Linked DNA regions of Notamacropus eugenii. The protein of the gene in region 1 purifies or fractionates together with the protein of each later gene. This does not show direct contact. Links are inferred from orthologs where the notes say so. Each region holds a gene or a part of one and is shown in the gene's direction. Other genes may lie near its edges.

Evidence for each region. The genes of interacting proteins can lie anywhere in the genome.
Region 2: the proteins of CSK (region 1) and TNS3 purify together in Homo sapiens (affinity purification with mass spectrometry; 4 studies listed by BioGRID and IntAct, with this or other methods). This does not show direct contact. The link is inferred for Notamacropus eugenii from reciprocal best matches to the Homo sapiens genes CSK and TNS3.

What each region holds. Positions count from the first base shown.
Region 1 is NC_092872.1:241,312,058-241,320,127, reverse strand, and holds the start of CSK (tyrosine-protein kinase CSK), read left to right. Parts: upstream 1-5,032; 5' UTR 5,033-5,621; intron 5,622-7,824; 5' UTR 7,825-8,024; intron 8,025-8,070. UniProt on the Homo sapiens protein: Non-receptor tyrosine-protein kinase that plays an important role in the regulation of cell growth, differentiation, migration and immune response.
Region 2 is NC_092874.1:409,896,726-409,904,821, reverse strand, and holds the start of TNS3 (tensin-3), read left to right. Parts: upstream 1-5,052; 5' UTR 5,053-5,252; coding exon 5,253-5,354; intron 5,355-8,096. UniProt on the Homo sapiens protein: May act as a protein phosphatase and/or a lipid phosphatase. Involved in the dissociation of the integrin-tensin-actin complex. EGF activates TNS4 and down-regulates TNS3 which results in capping the tail of ITGB1.

The sequences.
Region 1 (8,070 bases):
ACTCAAGAAACTCCACTGGCTCCCTATCACCTTGAGGATTAAATATAAAATTCACCAGCCCTCTCCCCAACCCCTGCAATACCTTTTTGTCAACACACACACACACACACACACACACACACACACACACACACACACACACACACACTCATATTCATTCTCTCCTTTTCTCTCTCTCTCTCTCACACTCACACACATATTCATTCTCTCCCTTTGTCTCTCTCTCTCTCTCTCTCTCTCCTCCTCTCTCTCTCTGTCCCTTTCTCTCTCTCTCTCTGAGATCCAGTGACAGTGGCCTCCTTTTTGGTCCAGAACAAGACATTCCATCTCCCAACAATCTATGTCTCCTAGCTTCTTTTAAGTACCAGATAAAAATCCCACTTTCCACAGGAAGACTTTTCAGACTTCTCCTCTCCCTTTAATCCAGGGCCTTCCCTGTCGATAATATCCAATTTGTCCTTGAGAGCAGACACTGTCTTTTACCTTTCTTTGTCTCTCCAGTGCTTAGCATGGTGCCTGGTGATTAGTAGGCACTTAATAAATCTGGAAAGTACAAAAAAGACCTGTATGAACTGAGACACAGAGTGAGCGACAACCATGAAAGCCCTAAAAACTGTGAACACCACAACGATCGACCACGTTTCAGGAGACCAACCAAGCTACCACCTTTGGAGGGCATGGGAGTGGGGAATGGATTCTGGTCGCAAATGGCAACATCTATTTTTTGGACAAAGTAGGAATTTCTTTTGCTTGATTACGCACATCTGTGACAAAAGTTTTGCCTTTGTTTTCTGTCAGGGAGGAGTGGATTTTTGTTCATTAAAAGTTTTCAATAAAAAATAGAAAAATAAAGTGTGACACACCATGTACATCTGAAATCAGTCAGCAAGGCTTTATTAAGGACTTCCCATGTGCTTGGCCCTGGGGAGACAAATGTCAAGAATGAACGAGCCCCCAAACAGAAAATGAAAAAACGAAAAAGAGATGGAAAAGGCACTGCCATTATAACAAGGCAGGAGGATAAGAAATAGTTCACATTCATATAGCCAACATTTATATGGTACTTCCTTTATAGCAACACCATGAGGAAAGCAGCAGCATTACCTTCAATTTCCAGAAAGGGAAACTGAGCCACAGAAAGGTTAAAGTGACTCACCCAGGGTCACACAGTGTTGAAAACCGTCCTCTAACTCTGCTCTGACTCATTATTATTTTCTGACAAATTAGCATCAGCTCGGGTGCCCAGTGGCTACTTTGTGGAAGAGGGACAGGGACAGTGAGCCAGGGAATATAAACTAGGCACAGTGCTGGGCCCTCCCTGGATTGGCCAAGGCTAGTTTTGTTTGGAGCCCAGGAGAGGGGAGAATTCAGAACTCTTTTTCCCCCCAAAATTTATTAATTTATTTGTTTTCAGTTTTCAACATTCATTTCCATAAGTTTAAAATTTTTCTCCCCCTCCCTCCCCAAGACAGCATGCAATCATATATGGGCTCTACACATACGTTCCCATTAAACACATTTTCACATTAGTCATGTTGCATAAAAGAATTATAGCTAATGGGAGAAACCATTAGCTATAATTCTTCTATGAGAATTCAGTACTCTTGAAGGACATTTGTCTATCATCTTCCATATCTATTCCTTTCACCTAGTATTTAGAGTGTTTCACTCTTCTCTTCTCCCTCCATTTCTCTCCCCCTCCCTCCCTTTTCCTTTCCTCTCCCCCCTCTCTCTACCCCTTTCTTTTCCCCTTCCCCTCCCCCAATATCGGTTGGTAGTCTCTCTCAGACTAGGTCTTCCCCCATCAATCCCAGGGCCTCAGTGCTAACCCCACCGTAAGGAATCCAGGAGACAGGTGGCTTTGGTGAATATTCTTTCCTCCTGTTACTCAGAATCCTTTGCTGAGGAAATGCAAGGATTCCTTGGGGTCCAGTTTCCTGCTTCACTTCTACTTTAAAGATCGAAATTTCAGTTCAACTGCTGATAACCAGGTTACTAGAGAGCTGCTTGACCTTGAGCAATTCATTTGGGAACTCCTCATCTCCAAAATGCAGGATTAAAAGACCTCTGAGGCTCAGTGGGGTACAGCACAATGTTGTGGCTCTGTTCCTTACTACCTGGGTAATTTGAGGAAAGTCATAATCTCCCAGCCTCAGTTTCCCCAGCTGTAAGTAAAGGAGTTGTGCTTCTAAGGGTCTTTGGAACTGTAGCTCTATGATTCTATCCTGGTTCTAATTCTCATCCCACAGACTAAGAAATGCTGAAGGGGTTGATTGTGGGAAAAGTCTAAGAAGCCCTGATGTAGATCCTATTCTGGGATGTTGCTGGGAATACCAAGGAAATGTCAGAAGACTCACTACCTGTTGTTGGGATTGCTGTTGGGGTTTTTGAAGGCCTTTATGGTTATTTAACTTTGCTTTCATTGATTATCTTCATATTTATCCTATATATACAGGTAGATACAGATTTGTATATGTATAAACACATACTTGTTTTCTCTCCAATTAGAATGTGGAAGGTACTTGAAAGAAGGGATGGTTTCATCCTTTGTCTTTCTATCCCCAACACCCTAACACAGTGCCAGGCACATCGGGTACCCTTAATAAAGACTTGTTCACTGACTAGTACAAAGCACTGTGCTCAGTGCTGGCAAAATAAAGATGAAAAATGATCCCAACAAATTCAGAGTTTGTAATCTATGAAATGCACCAGGTAGGTAAAGGAGAATAACACAAAGACAGAATGTGAATGGCACAGGGCAGCTAAGTGGCCCAGTGGGTAGTTGAGTCAGGAGGACCCAAGTTCAAATCCAGCCTCAGACACTTGACACTTATTAGCTGTGTGACCCTGGGCAAGTCACTTAACTCCAATTGCCTCCCTACCCTGACCCTGCCAAAAGAAAACAACAGAAAGTGAGTGGGACCAAGGCAAAATTCAGACCAAGTGCTTTAGGAAAATCTGAAGTTTGAGATCACCTTTAGTTGAGGGGAAATACAGAAGGGCCTCCTGGCAGAGGAAGCCCCTGAGCTGAGCCTTGAAGAAAGAGGCAGGGAGGTTCCAATTAGCCTGCACTAAATCAGGAAACAGCAGGACCAAAATCAGAGCTAATCATCAGTTTGTTGAGAAAGGAGAATGTGTGAAAGAGAATATTGAGAAAATCAGTCTAGAAAGGTAGGATGGAAACAGGAGACTGTGGTGACAAAGAGCCAAAGGTTTTAGAAAAAGGGAGTAACTCCTCAAATCTACATAAAAGGATGGTTACTATGACAACAGTTTGAAGGGCAGGGTTGATGTCCATCTTGACTCCTGGAGTCTCTAAGCTGTCATTATTTTAAAACTTTTTTTGAGCCAATTGGGGTTAAGTGACTTGGCCAGGGTCACACAGCTGGTAAGTTTGAGTCCTCCTGACTCCAAGGCCAATGCTCTATCCACTGGGTCACCTAGCTGTCCCAAGATGTCTTCTTAAGAGCAGGCAGGGAAAAAGTCTTCTAGATCAGGGCTTCTTAAACTTTTTCCACTCTTGACCCCTTCAGCATTTCTTAAACTGTGGGTCGAGAAAATGGTAGGGCTACCTTCCTCCAGACTATGGGGGAGAAAGGAGAAGACCCCTTTTCTCTCCATAAAGTCTGGTGACCCTACAGCTTATTAAAGGCCAGGGAACCCATCCCTCCAAGAACCCTTAAGTTTATTTACACTGGGTGTAAATAAATCCTCCTCCAAACATATTGTACCATTCCTGTTCACTCTGACCTTTCTAGGGATCCAGGGTATCTAGTTCTTTGTGGCTACCCCTGGCTTCCTTCAAGTCTCAACTAAAGTCCTACCTTCAGCAAGAAGCCTCTCTTAAGGATCCTCAATCTTTGCACAATCCCTTCCATGATTATGGCCAACTTATCCTGTCTAGTCTGTTACAAGTGTGTGAATCTCCTTTCCCCCAAGTGAACCAGAGAATCTTAGGGTGTGGAGGTTTGGGAGTCATCTAGAGAAATTCACCCCTGAAGGAGAATCTTTTCTAGGACATACTGGACAAATGGTCAGCCAGCCTCTGCTTGAAGACACCCCAGTGAGGGGAAATCAACTGCCCTCTCCCCAAGGCTGCCCATTTTGCTTCTTAATTGCTCTAATCGTTGGGGAGAAGCTTCTCTTCTTTCTAACAACTCCTCATTGCTCCTGGTTTGGGCACAAAGCTAGTGTCCCTTCCACCGGACCACCCACCACAGACCGCTTAGTTTGGCAGTGAAGCCTGTGAGTCCCTTGAAAGAAGGAGCTGTCTTCTACCTTCCTTTACCCTGCCAGGCTTAGCACGGTACTGGCACACAGCAGACACACACACACTCGAACTCACTCTCACACACACAGCACGCACACACTCACACTCACATACACAGCACACACACACACTCACAGCGCACGCACACACACACAGACACACACACACACACACAGAGCACGCGCGTGCACACACACTCACACACACACACACACACACACACACACACACACACACACACACACACTCGGTTACACCAGTAAGGGCTCTGACCATGTACACTTGACCTCTAGACCTTGATCCTCGGGCTATTCCAGTCCTGTCCCGGGGTGCCGTCAGGCCGTGCGCTCGCACTGATCACAAAGTGACGAAGAGCTCCCCGCCCTGCCCCCGGCCGGCCCGGAGTTCTGAGGGAGCCGTCTGGACTGCGCCCACCGGTGCCCACTCACCACTTTGCAGGCGAAGGGCGGCGAGCGGGTCACTGTCTCGGGCTTCCAACTCCGCGCCCACCTGCCGGGATGAGCGACCCCCGACTTCAGGCGTCCGGCTGCCATTGGGTCGGCGGCCAAGATGTGAGGCTCGGGACGCGGGGACCTGGACACACCCCCATGCGATGCCCGTGGCCTCCAGTAGGTGGCGCAGCCTCCCCGCTCGCGCCCGGTCCGCGAGCGGGTCCAGCCCATTTGGCGCAGGCGCGCTGCTACAGGCGGATGGATCCAGGCTCCGCTTCCTCCGGCCAGGCCTGCGAGCTTCCTTCCAGCTGAGCCGGAGAGGGCCTGGGGAGGGGGCGGCCCCCGCAGCAGAGGACGCGCGCGCGCGCCGCCAGTCTTCCCCCCCCTCCCCGCCCCGCCCCGCCCCGCCCCTCCCGCCGCGCTCCCGGGGTGGGGGCAGCCGCCGCCGGCCTCCAGTCCGGCCGGGAGCCGTCGGGTCCGTTCCTCCGTCCAGCCCGCTTCCAGCCCGGGCCGCCGGTGCCGGGGGGGCTGGGACGCCGGGGCCCGCCCCGCTCCAGAGCCAAACGTCGCGTGTCTGGGCTGCCCAGGCGGCCCGCGCTACGTCCCCACCTCAAGGCTCGGCGGCGGCGTTCGGAAGCGGAACTCTCCCGGGGCCGCGGCGGCTACATTGTTTCCTCCTCCCTCCCCGACCCGGGCCGAGCGGTGCTCCCCGGCCCAGCCTCTCGCTGCCCTCTTCCCGCTCCTTCTCTCCTCCCCCCTCCCCCCGCTCCTTTGGACCCCTCCCACCAGGGCGCCCCCCCGCCCCCCGCCTCCACCCAGCCCCCGGCCACATGGACTGTCCCGCAGCCCACTGATGTCGCCGGCGGCTAAGTGGATCGGACCGCAGCGCTCGGAGAGAGGTGAGTGAGTGCCCGGCGTTCGGGGCCCTGGCCGCGGCGGCCCGAGCTGGGTGGAGATCGCCAGCCCCGGAACCTACTGGTCCTTGGCCGGCTCCCGCCCTCCCCGCGGCCGCTCCCCTCCCCCACCCGAGCTCCGACGGGTTTGAATTCTCCCGGGAGTTGCTGTCACGGTGTAGACCCGGGCAATAAGCCGTCCTCCGAGATGGGTCCCGGGCCCGTGGGGCAGGCGAGCCCAGTGCCAAGTTGGTGGGTCCTCACCGCCCCGGGGCCTACCGGGGGGTTCGAGTGGGGTCTGCGTGGGGGACTGGAAAAAACTCCACTCCTTAAGAGGTTCTGACTAAATCCTCGCCAGCCCTTTATCTTCCTCCACCCAAGAGCTCGGAGCCTCAGTCCCGGCTTTGGAGGGGCAAGGATGGGGCGGGGACCCAGGATAATGCCAGCCTTCCCTTAGTGGGACTGTGCAGGACGGGCATGTGGCTGATGGAGGAGGAATTAAGCTTCCAACATGGGGTGGGGTCAGACTGGACCAAGGTGGGGGTGTGTGGAAAGAGAAGCCATTTCATTGTCTCTGGGGGTTTGCCAGCACTGCCCCAAGCTCTATCTTCTCCTCCCCTTCCATTCTCCCCCCCACCCCACCCCCATTCCCACCCTCTACGCTGTAACCGTGCAACCTGCTGACGGAGCCTGAAGCCTGACAACAGGGCTGCTCACGCCGGCCTGTGCACAATGCTCCTGGTTCCCCAACCCATGCTTTAGGACTCAGGCTCAGACACCCGACTTTGGGCTACTTGTACCCAGGACAGGATTTCGGAGGATTAGTTTCCTCGATTTGACTCCCACTGAAGAGGTTGAAATACCCTCTCTGGATGGGACTGCTCCTTCTAGCCCGCCATCCCCAGATTGCATCCTTGGGTAGCCAGGGAGAGCAGCCTTGGAAACAAAGCCCCCTGTACCACCTAGAGGGAGCTGGTCTTGCACATGTGAATTGCATCTTTCCCCTTCCCCGCCCCACTCTGCCTGGACACCTAGGCCTGTGTTAGACATCCAGGATTGGAGTCATCGAATTAAGGCAAAAGGAACCTAGAGAACATTTAGACCAATCTCTTTTATTTTACTTTGGGGCAAAGTGAGGCATGGAAAAGAAAAGGGGTTTGCCCAAAGTTAGGGTCATAGAATTTAAAACTGGAAACAAGTTTATTTAGAGGTAGTCTAGTCCTTGTTCCTCATTTTACAGATGAGGAAACCGAGGCCCAGAAGTGACTCGGCCATAGTCACACATTAAATTACTTCCTGACACTGGGAGAGGTGGAGCAACTAATAGAAACCAAAACTGTTCCTTGAGCAGGCGGTAGCCAAGACAGACTGAGCCAGGCCCTGAGAGGCTTAACATGTGCTCAGCTGGGCTGCAGATCTAGGCATCTGGAGAAGAGAGGTTTGGAGAAAGTACCCAGCTGGCAGGTTTATGGCTCAGAGTGGGGTACTGGCCCTGGGGCATCCCTCCCCCAGGCTTGCTTCCTCTTATTGGGGTCCTGGGCTCTGAAGTCTCAGCTGCTTTGGGGACTCAGACCTTGTCTTTCTATCTTCAAAGCAACCATCCTGTCAGCTATGATTAAAATTTAATGTGTGGAGTGGGGAGTGATTAGAGCTTTTGATTTTTTTTTTTTTTTGGAGGGAGGTGGTAACTACTGAGGTAACTTGGTGTCCTTGGCTTTCCTTGGAGAGAGCTTTGCCCATATGAGTTACCCATAGACCTGGTTGTGCTGGGTAAGAATTCTTCATGTTCAGGGATACAGAAGGTAACTAGCAGAACAGGAAGGGTGATGTGGCTAACTAGGGACTCATATGTTCAGAAGCCCCACATTTCATCTTCCTCCTTTCTCTTTGATTTGGGATGGTAAGGGGAGCCAGGAAACTTGGCAGGGAACGGGGGGAGATCCTAACTTTCTAGCTGAATGTCATCTTTATGCCTGATTGGTCACTAAGGTGGCTTCTACCCCCAGAGGCATACTGCCTTGTACCATTGCCATGACCACCTCAGAGTACCTGAATTCCAGGGTCTGATAGCAGAGTCAGAGAAACACTTGGAAATTTCCTTGGCAAGGAAACTGTCTCTAAGGAGAGAATTGGGGTAGTGGGGGGGAAAGGGATGTGGGGCACCTATCTCTTAAAAGCTTTTTGACCTCATCTCTGGTGTGTGTCGCAGGAAGAAGAAACATTATTGAGGCATAGTTTAGAGGTGTCCAGACTCGGTTCCTTTAGCACAGAGCCAAGGGTCAGCCTTTGCCTTCCTTGGAGGCTGATTCCCACGAGCTGGTTCCAGCCACACTTTCTCCCTCAAAGGAGAGTTGGGGAGAGTCCAGTATCCAAGCTCAAAGTCATTTAAATCCCTCACTCCCAGTTCTTGTGAGTATTCCGTATGACTCTCCTCCCCTTCCTCATCTTTCAAAAT
Region 2 (8,096 bases), on another chromosome or scaffold:
TCTCTCTCTCTCCCTCTCTCTCCCCCTCTCTCCTTCTCTCTTCTCTCCCTCTCTGGTCCCTCCAAGAATCTATTTGTCCTCAATTCAGATACACTCAAGTAATTTCATCAATGTGTAAACTCTTAGCTTTTGGGTCTGTTTTTTAAGTCTAGAATTTTGTTTTATTTGCACGAACAGTCCTATTTCATTGTCTTTCGCTTCTTGGGGGCCTTGGGCTGAGATGTTGGAGGGTGCATCTTTAGGAGTTGGAGGTGGAGTGTAAGGTGAGATGGTAACAAGGATTAAAGTAATTTGTTTTCCATTCATCCTAAGAGGGGAAAGAAACTTGAGTAGTGCAAATGAAATAGTCTTCCAAGTATGAAAGTAAAGGCTTAGAAAATAATTATGTAACAAGAAGAGCTCAAAACAACACAAACTTACACATATTGTTCAATAAGAAATAGTTTCTTTCCTCCAGCTTATTTTAAATATATAACCTTAGTAAGATGGTATCTCATATGCATTGGTGACTGAAAAAGACTACAATTTGTATTGACTGTTGGGGAAAGGGCTCCCTTCTTCTTATTTGGAAAAATCCTAGTTCTTAATCACACTGAACAAAGGTAGAAAGTGGTCTTTGGGCTTTAACAAATTGTTGAAGATCATCCCTCAGTTAGAGGAGGATATCAGAAACCTGGACAGTCCACATCAACCTAAGGAGCCACACAAACACTCCATATATATGGATTTCAGATCCTTGACTTTCTTAAGCTCATGGTGGCAAATAGGTCACTTTCTAAATGATTCATGTCATTCAGAGAAGGGCAACTTTGGCATAGTGGAGCTATGAACCAGAAGTAGGAAGATATAGGTTTGAATCCACTTAATACCTGTGTGACCTTGGGCAAGTTAGCAAACCACTTTTAACTTCGGTATCCCCATCTATAAAATAGGAATCATCCTTTTTGCACAGTAGAGGTAGATTTGAACAAGAGCTACCCTGACTACTGCTCAAACAGTGTTCCTATCTTCATTCCTGTCTCCCTCATGCTTGGAATGTTCTCCCTCTTTACCTCCTTCTTCCCTGGTTCTCATCAAAACTCAGCTCAAACCCTTCCTTCTGCAGGAAGCCTTTCCTATTCCCCTTCTTTCCTCCCACTCCCTACTTTTTCTTGGAGATGATCTCCAATTTATCCAGTCAAAATCTTGTTTTTACACAGTGGTTTCCTTACTGTCTCATCTATCAGGATTTGGACTCATTGAAGACAGGGACCATGTTTTTGTCTTCTTTTGTACTCCCAGCACCTATCTCAGTGTCTGGTACATAACAAGTCCTTAATGAATGTTTGCTGATTGACAATCTGACTGACTGACTAGATTTAGAGTCAGGAAGACCTGAGTGCCAAATCCATCTCTGACACTTTTTAGCTATATGATCAAAGGCAGCCCACTTAATCTCTTTTTATCTCAAACATCTCCCTAGGACTTCTCACATTGCTAAGGACTATGATACATCATAAACTACTGAGGGGAGGGGTCCCACACTATAGGATGGAAATGTCAAGCAGGCAGCCTTCTCAGTTGGTATGCTGCTCCCAGTGTAACCCAAACCTGATAAAAATATAATAAGCAAATACATAGCAAAATAGATAAAAATATAATAAAATACAGATAATATTGTATTTTAAAACTAAGTTAATATGCATCCCTTAAGGATCCTTATGCATGGTTTAGTGGTCCAGTTTCTTTTTAAATTTGACACTACTACTGTAGAAAATATGAATCCTTCTTGTGGTCTACTAATACATGAACTATCCATCTCATGGGACTGTTGTGAGAAATATACTTTGTAAACAACTATGCACCCACATGTGTACACACCAATGTGCATATATGCTATATATTCTCATATGCATAGTTATATAGTTACATATGTGTGAGAAAACATAGAATTTTAATACTAGAAAGGATGTTTGAACTAGTCTAGTCCATCCCCCTCAGTTTACCAATGTCTCAGTTTCCCCAGTGGGGAAACTAAAGGCCCAGAAAGAGTGAGTCTTAACCTGGGGTAACAGAGCTAACTAGCTAAAGGTGAAGCCAGTACTGGACTCTTCAATCTCCAAAAGTCTACAGTTCTTTCTCACTCCATTTCACTGAAGCTTCTCAGGAAAAAAAAAAAAAAAGGTGATGACAATCCAAGTCCTTTTAACCACCCCAAGTTTCTCCCTTGAATCAAAAACTCGGTTTTAATGTCATAATTCTTCCAGTGTCTTTCTATGGTTTTGAATCACAGAACCTACAGTCTCTGAAGAACTGAAATGGAGAATTACCCAAAGACAATAGAGAATGAACAAATCACAGCATGTTCCAGACAAGAAATTACAAAGCAGAGGCAGAGGAAAGGACATTGTCCAAGAAATGTAGGAGAAAAAAAGATGAACTTTTCAATTGCCAAAAAGTGAGGGCTAACCATATGCCTGCCCATGAACCCCATTGGTATTACAAAGTCAAGGGAAAGCAAGGAAGACTCTCACCACACTTATGGAGGTCATTGGATAATACATTAGATTTTTCTAACATTCTGTATGCTGAGAAGGACCCCATTTAAGTTGGGAAGTGGACCCAGATATGGAAAATGAGAGTTAGTTGGTGATCTGATTATCTGACCAATTATGAAGCAGAGTGGAATGTGCTCAACAGTTTCCTTTAAATAGATGACACCTATCAAGACATAGACAAGAGTGGAACAGGCTGGACAGACAAGGATGGCTTGCTACCTGCACCACTAGCAGGAATGTCCAACTTGACAACATCATAGATCCTTTAAAGTGTTTGAGTGTCCAGTATACCCGGAAATCATTTCAGAAGAGCAGCCTTTTGATGTTATACATTTTCCCCTTAAAAATGTAAGCCCATTGGAATGCTAGACCTGGTATCTTGTATAAGACGTCACCACTACCATTTGACTTGATCCTTTCTAGAGGAGAGAAAATAAAGCTGATTAAGGTATTCTGGTAGTGAAGTGCACTAGCTTAGATGGATTAATGGGCAAACTGTTGGCTGTTAGAGCAGTAGGAAAAAGTTATTTACTAAATTATACCCTGATGCCCTGAACAAGTTCATTCACATCTCATGGATAAGCAGTTTACTACCTAAGTGTAATTCATTCATATTGTTTGCCAAAGGGGTAGAGCCCTCTCAATGAGTGGTCAGGAGCCAGTGAGATTTCCATTTCATGAAACCTCACCATCCATCCTGAGGAATTTGACTTATGTCTTGAAACAGGGATATCAAATATATAGTAAAAAAAAAATCTCATATGGTCCTTTAATTTTCTGCAGAAACCTGAAGTTTCTTTTCTTTAAAAAAGATAGAACAAGATTAACTGGGGACATTAATTTTTCTTTTTTAAAAAATAAGTCTATTTTGTCCTATCTAAACTGAAATAAACAATAAAAACATACTGTAATATGTAAAGTTGGTCCTTTTCTACTGAGCTGTTTGCTTTTCTAAATTCATATGGCATATGTGCATTTCTTATATGGAGGAGATTAGGGATGGTAAATAAACTCGAGTGTAGAAGTTTTCATTAATTTCTCCCAACTTCACACTTTAAAAACGCGGGCTTAGGACCATTTTTCAAATCAGCCTCTCTGACTTTGCCCTCCTTCCAGCAGTGCCTGACCTGGCAGTAAAACTTCTGTGAGATTTCCATGTCTGTAAATGGAGCATTGAGGCTAAAGTAACCAGGGCTGCTTGCTTTGTTGGGCGCCCGCTTTGCTTTCACTGTATAAATCATCCCTAAACCAGCTGCAGGGTCGTTTACAATTGTGTGGTTCACTCACAGTCAAGCAAGGAGCCCCAAGGAGGGAATTCTAGCAGTAGGAGGAAGCTGTGAATACAGGTGGCAAAGAGTTTTCTTTTTCCAAAGACAAAACAAATACCCAAACCACGCTGTTTTGTGGCAGGACCACTCAAACCCCTCACTGTCTCTGAACCCTTTTTGGCAAGGAGGGAAGAGAGTTAGCTCATGTCACTTAAGGGAAGTGACAAGTTTTGCTCCATAATATGTGTCTAACTAATGATTTAGTCACCTTACAAATCTCCAAGTGCAAAGATAAAAGCATTTTTTTTTTACTTCTGAAGGCATAATTAAGTATCAACTGTCTTAGAAAGGTTTTTTTTTTTTCAAAAGTATATTCCAACCCCCTTCCCCTGTCCCCATCACTTCTCCCCAGAAAATTAATTGTGCAGAGTTGAAACCTTAAACACTAATGTTCGGCTTAAAGCCAATTTTTCCCCCAAATGATTTCAAAGAAGGGATTTTGAACAGCTAAAACTAACAGGCTCTTCAAGTCGGCTGGTACTGGCTGCTAGCTGGAGCTGCTGTAATATGAACAGTCCCCCATAATGCCTTTGAAACAGTCATTAGTCTCCAGCATCATTTTGCAGCTCTGAAAGCTAAGTTATGTGGAAGGAGGGGGGATGAAAATCAAAGGGGGATTACAGGCACAGAATGACAGCACAAAGAAACAGGAAATTCCTCCAAAATGCTTTCCACTCCTGAAATTCGGCTTTCAAAGTCATCCTGATTGAGTTGGCTTCAAATAGTCATTATTTGCTCTCGAATTAGGCGGGCATTATCAGTGTGCCTCAGTGACAGATTGCTGGATAGCTCTTTCGTCCTTTCTGCAAAGGCAGCCCAGCCTCCGCCTCCCTCCCTCCCTCCCCACCCTACTCCAAAGAGTGCCGTCCAAATTATTAGTTTCCTTATTATTGTATCCATACCATTCAGTGATCCCCAAACCCTCCCACCAGGAGAGGAAAGGCTAAGTTTCCCCCTAGCTGGAGCTGAGACTTTAGACAGTGGCCTTCTTATGCGTTGTCTCAGTCTTTGAGGGGGCACAGTGTGGTCAGCATGGGATTCTGATAACAAAGGGTTAGGAGAGGGAGAGGAGGGGGGGGGGGGGGGGGGCTAGGCTGACAGATCGGTAGAAACAGCATCAGCTCCAAAGGGCTTCAACCTGCCCAGACGGAACTGGAACCTAAAGGTTAAGCATTGGCAGGCTGAGGCTTGTATTTCCATGCTGCCTGTCACGAGAGGCTGGCAGGTTGGAGCAACTGTGTGCTGAGTGGGGCTGAAGGCTAGGAGAGCTGCCCTGGGAGGAGTTCAGCCAGGAGAAGGCAGAGATGAGGGCTCAGACTCTGGTGTCCTGAGTTGGAGGGGAGAGACCACAAGCAGATTGAGGCTGCTCTGAGATTGGAGGGCTCTGATGGGCTGTTCGGTGAGTCTGGCCTGCCTGGAGGATGAGTTATGTACCGTACCTTTGGACCAGCCCATCCTGAGAGCAGATGAAGAGGTCATCATGATCCAGGTAGGGGTGTGTGTGTGTGTGTGTGTGTGTGTGTGTGTGTGTGTGTGTGTGTGTGTGTGTGTGTGTGTGTGTGTGTGTGTGTGTGTGTGTGTGTGTGTGTGTGTGTGTGTGTGTGTAAAGTAGTTACAGCAAGAAAATAAATCAAAATATAAGGGAAAAAAGGAGGACAGCTGCAGAAGGAAGACCTTCCTGGATTACAACAGCCAGGAAGGCACCCTCTGAGACTTGCTACTATTTCTCACTAAGCCTTCAGATACTAACTATTTAAGAAGGATTTTCACCGTTTGCATCATGAACTTGCCAGCTTTTATGATTGTAGGTGTCTTCCTGGTGTTTCTTTCTAAGTTGAACTAACTGAAAGCAAAAAGCCAGGAAGCAATGATTAAGCTTGAAATATAACTCAATTTAACAGTATGTATTTGGGGGTGAGCCTGAGCAGAGATTTTTTTTATGGTTGCTGGTCCCTATGATGCTATGACTGTCATGATGTGTTTTCTAGTTGTGTCCAAAGTAAAGTGTCCAAAGTCACAAAAGGGTGGTATTTATGAGAGAACCTATTGAGTAGATTATGGGACTGACTACATCCCTCTCCAGAAAGACAATCCCAAACTTCGCAAGCACAAGGGTCAAGAGAAGTAAATGCATAATGGGCTGGCCTATGTCCAGTTTTCTTCTTGCCCAGCAGAGAGCTACAGACAGCGGATGTGGGAAGACTCCTGAATATAACAGGGAATGATCAACAATGGCTTTCTCACCATCCCCCCCACCCCCACCCCCCTTGTCCTTTTAAAAATGTTTGAGTTGGCTTAAAGAAGCTTTAACAGCTCTTCTCTATTCTGGGGAACTGCTCTAAATGCATTCTTCCTTGCAGACTAGAAACTACTTTGAGCTGGAGAAGAAAGCATTCTTCTAATGGAGTTGTAGTGTTTTCCACTTTAAAATTATTTTGTGTCACACAAACAAGTAGGTTTAATTCAAAGTGTATTCCTATTTACTCAGTGGTGGGTTGGTTTGTCTTGGCTTTTCCATCTCTCTCTCTCTCTCTTTCTCTTTCTCTCCAAAAATTAGATTTTCATTCCATAAGTACCTTCAGAGTATATATATCTACTTTTAATATTAATGGCAAATTATAAATAAAGCTAATCTTAGGGAAAGAGATCTCTAGTATATCTACTAACTACTTGCCTACCATTAGTCTTTCGTATGTTTAGGGACACTAGAAGAATGTAAGTTCCCTGAGGGAAGGAATTATTTTCATTTTTTTCTGTGTATCTTCAGGGTCTAGCACAGTACATAAAATATTCGAGGCACTTAATAAATACAAGTTGAATTTAACTGAATTTTTAGAAGCAGAAGAGACTATAGAACTTTGTCTCAATATTTCTACTTGTGGATAAGTTCGAGGAAAAGTATCTTTACTTACCTTTTTCAACAAAGAAAACTAATTTCTATTAAAGCAGAAGTTAATAATCATCCAAGAGAACAGATAATGAGACATACTTTCCTCCTCTTGACAGAGAGGTGGGAATATATGAGCTCAAAATGTCTTTTCAGGCATGCTCACTGTATTAGTTGTTTGGACTTAACTCTTTTCCTTCATTGCAAGTAAGGGTTCAGTTGGCAGTGGGGTGGGGGTATATCCAGTAATGACAGCTATATAAAAACAAATGCAGCTGTTTTCTCCAAACAAAGTGAAAGTGACTTGGATAGAATGACCAGTTGCTTTGAGGGATTGAGGCAAGACAGGGACGTTGACACATTTAATGGAGCTATGAATTGGTATAACCATTCTGGAAAATCATTTGGAATTATGCGAAGAAATGATTAATATGACCAAACTCTGATCCAAAGATCCCACTGCTAAGTAGATACCCCAAAGAAATAAAAAATATAAAAAAAAGTTCCTACATTTGCCAAGATATTTATAACATTTTTTGTAGTAGCAAAGAGTTGGAAAAAAGTGACGCCCATCAGTTGGGGAATGGCTAAACAAATGGTAGTACATGACATAACAAAATTTTAGGTCACCTTCCTTTGTCAACACTGAAGTGTTTATTGATGATATAAAAGATAATGCAGAATAATGACCTGGAAGTAATCCAGAGACAGGTACTAAAGAGGCCTTTTTCACTGCAGCAAAAGCAAGTATTTAGAAATAAAAGTGTTCCCTTTGTCCCAGGTCAGCATTCAGATACACTAGTGAATTCCTTCTTTTAACTCAACTAGCTGCTATGAGGTAGACACAGCCCAAAGCCCCTGATCCCCACTCTGTCTTCTCAATCAGCCCTCTTCTTGTTAAAAATTCCTTTTTCCTGTCTATTCTCAGAAATCCAATTGTATCTTTCTAGACCTTTGATTAAAAGACACTTCTTTTTTAGACAGGGGGAGGGGAATTCATTCTAATGAGTGTCTGCAGCTGCAAAAGTGTCAAAATATTACAAGAAATGATGCCCTGGCAGTAGTTTTGAACTATCAAGCAACAGGCAGAACCAGAAATGCCAGTATGATTTCTACCCCAACTCAGCATATCAATGTGATTTGGATAGGCAGAAAACTGTCAAAGAAATAGCCAACCTTTGAGGGCTCACACTAAAGTCTGAGGATCTGAAATTTGTCCTTTTTGAAATGCTCATTGTATCGGTTATTCTGAAGTGGTGATTCCACAGCATCTTCTTCCTGTGCTAAAAGATGTACATCTATGCATACATATGTATATGTGTGTATATGTATATATACACATTC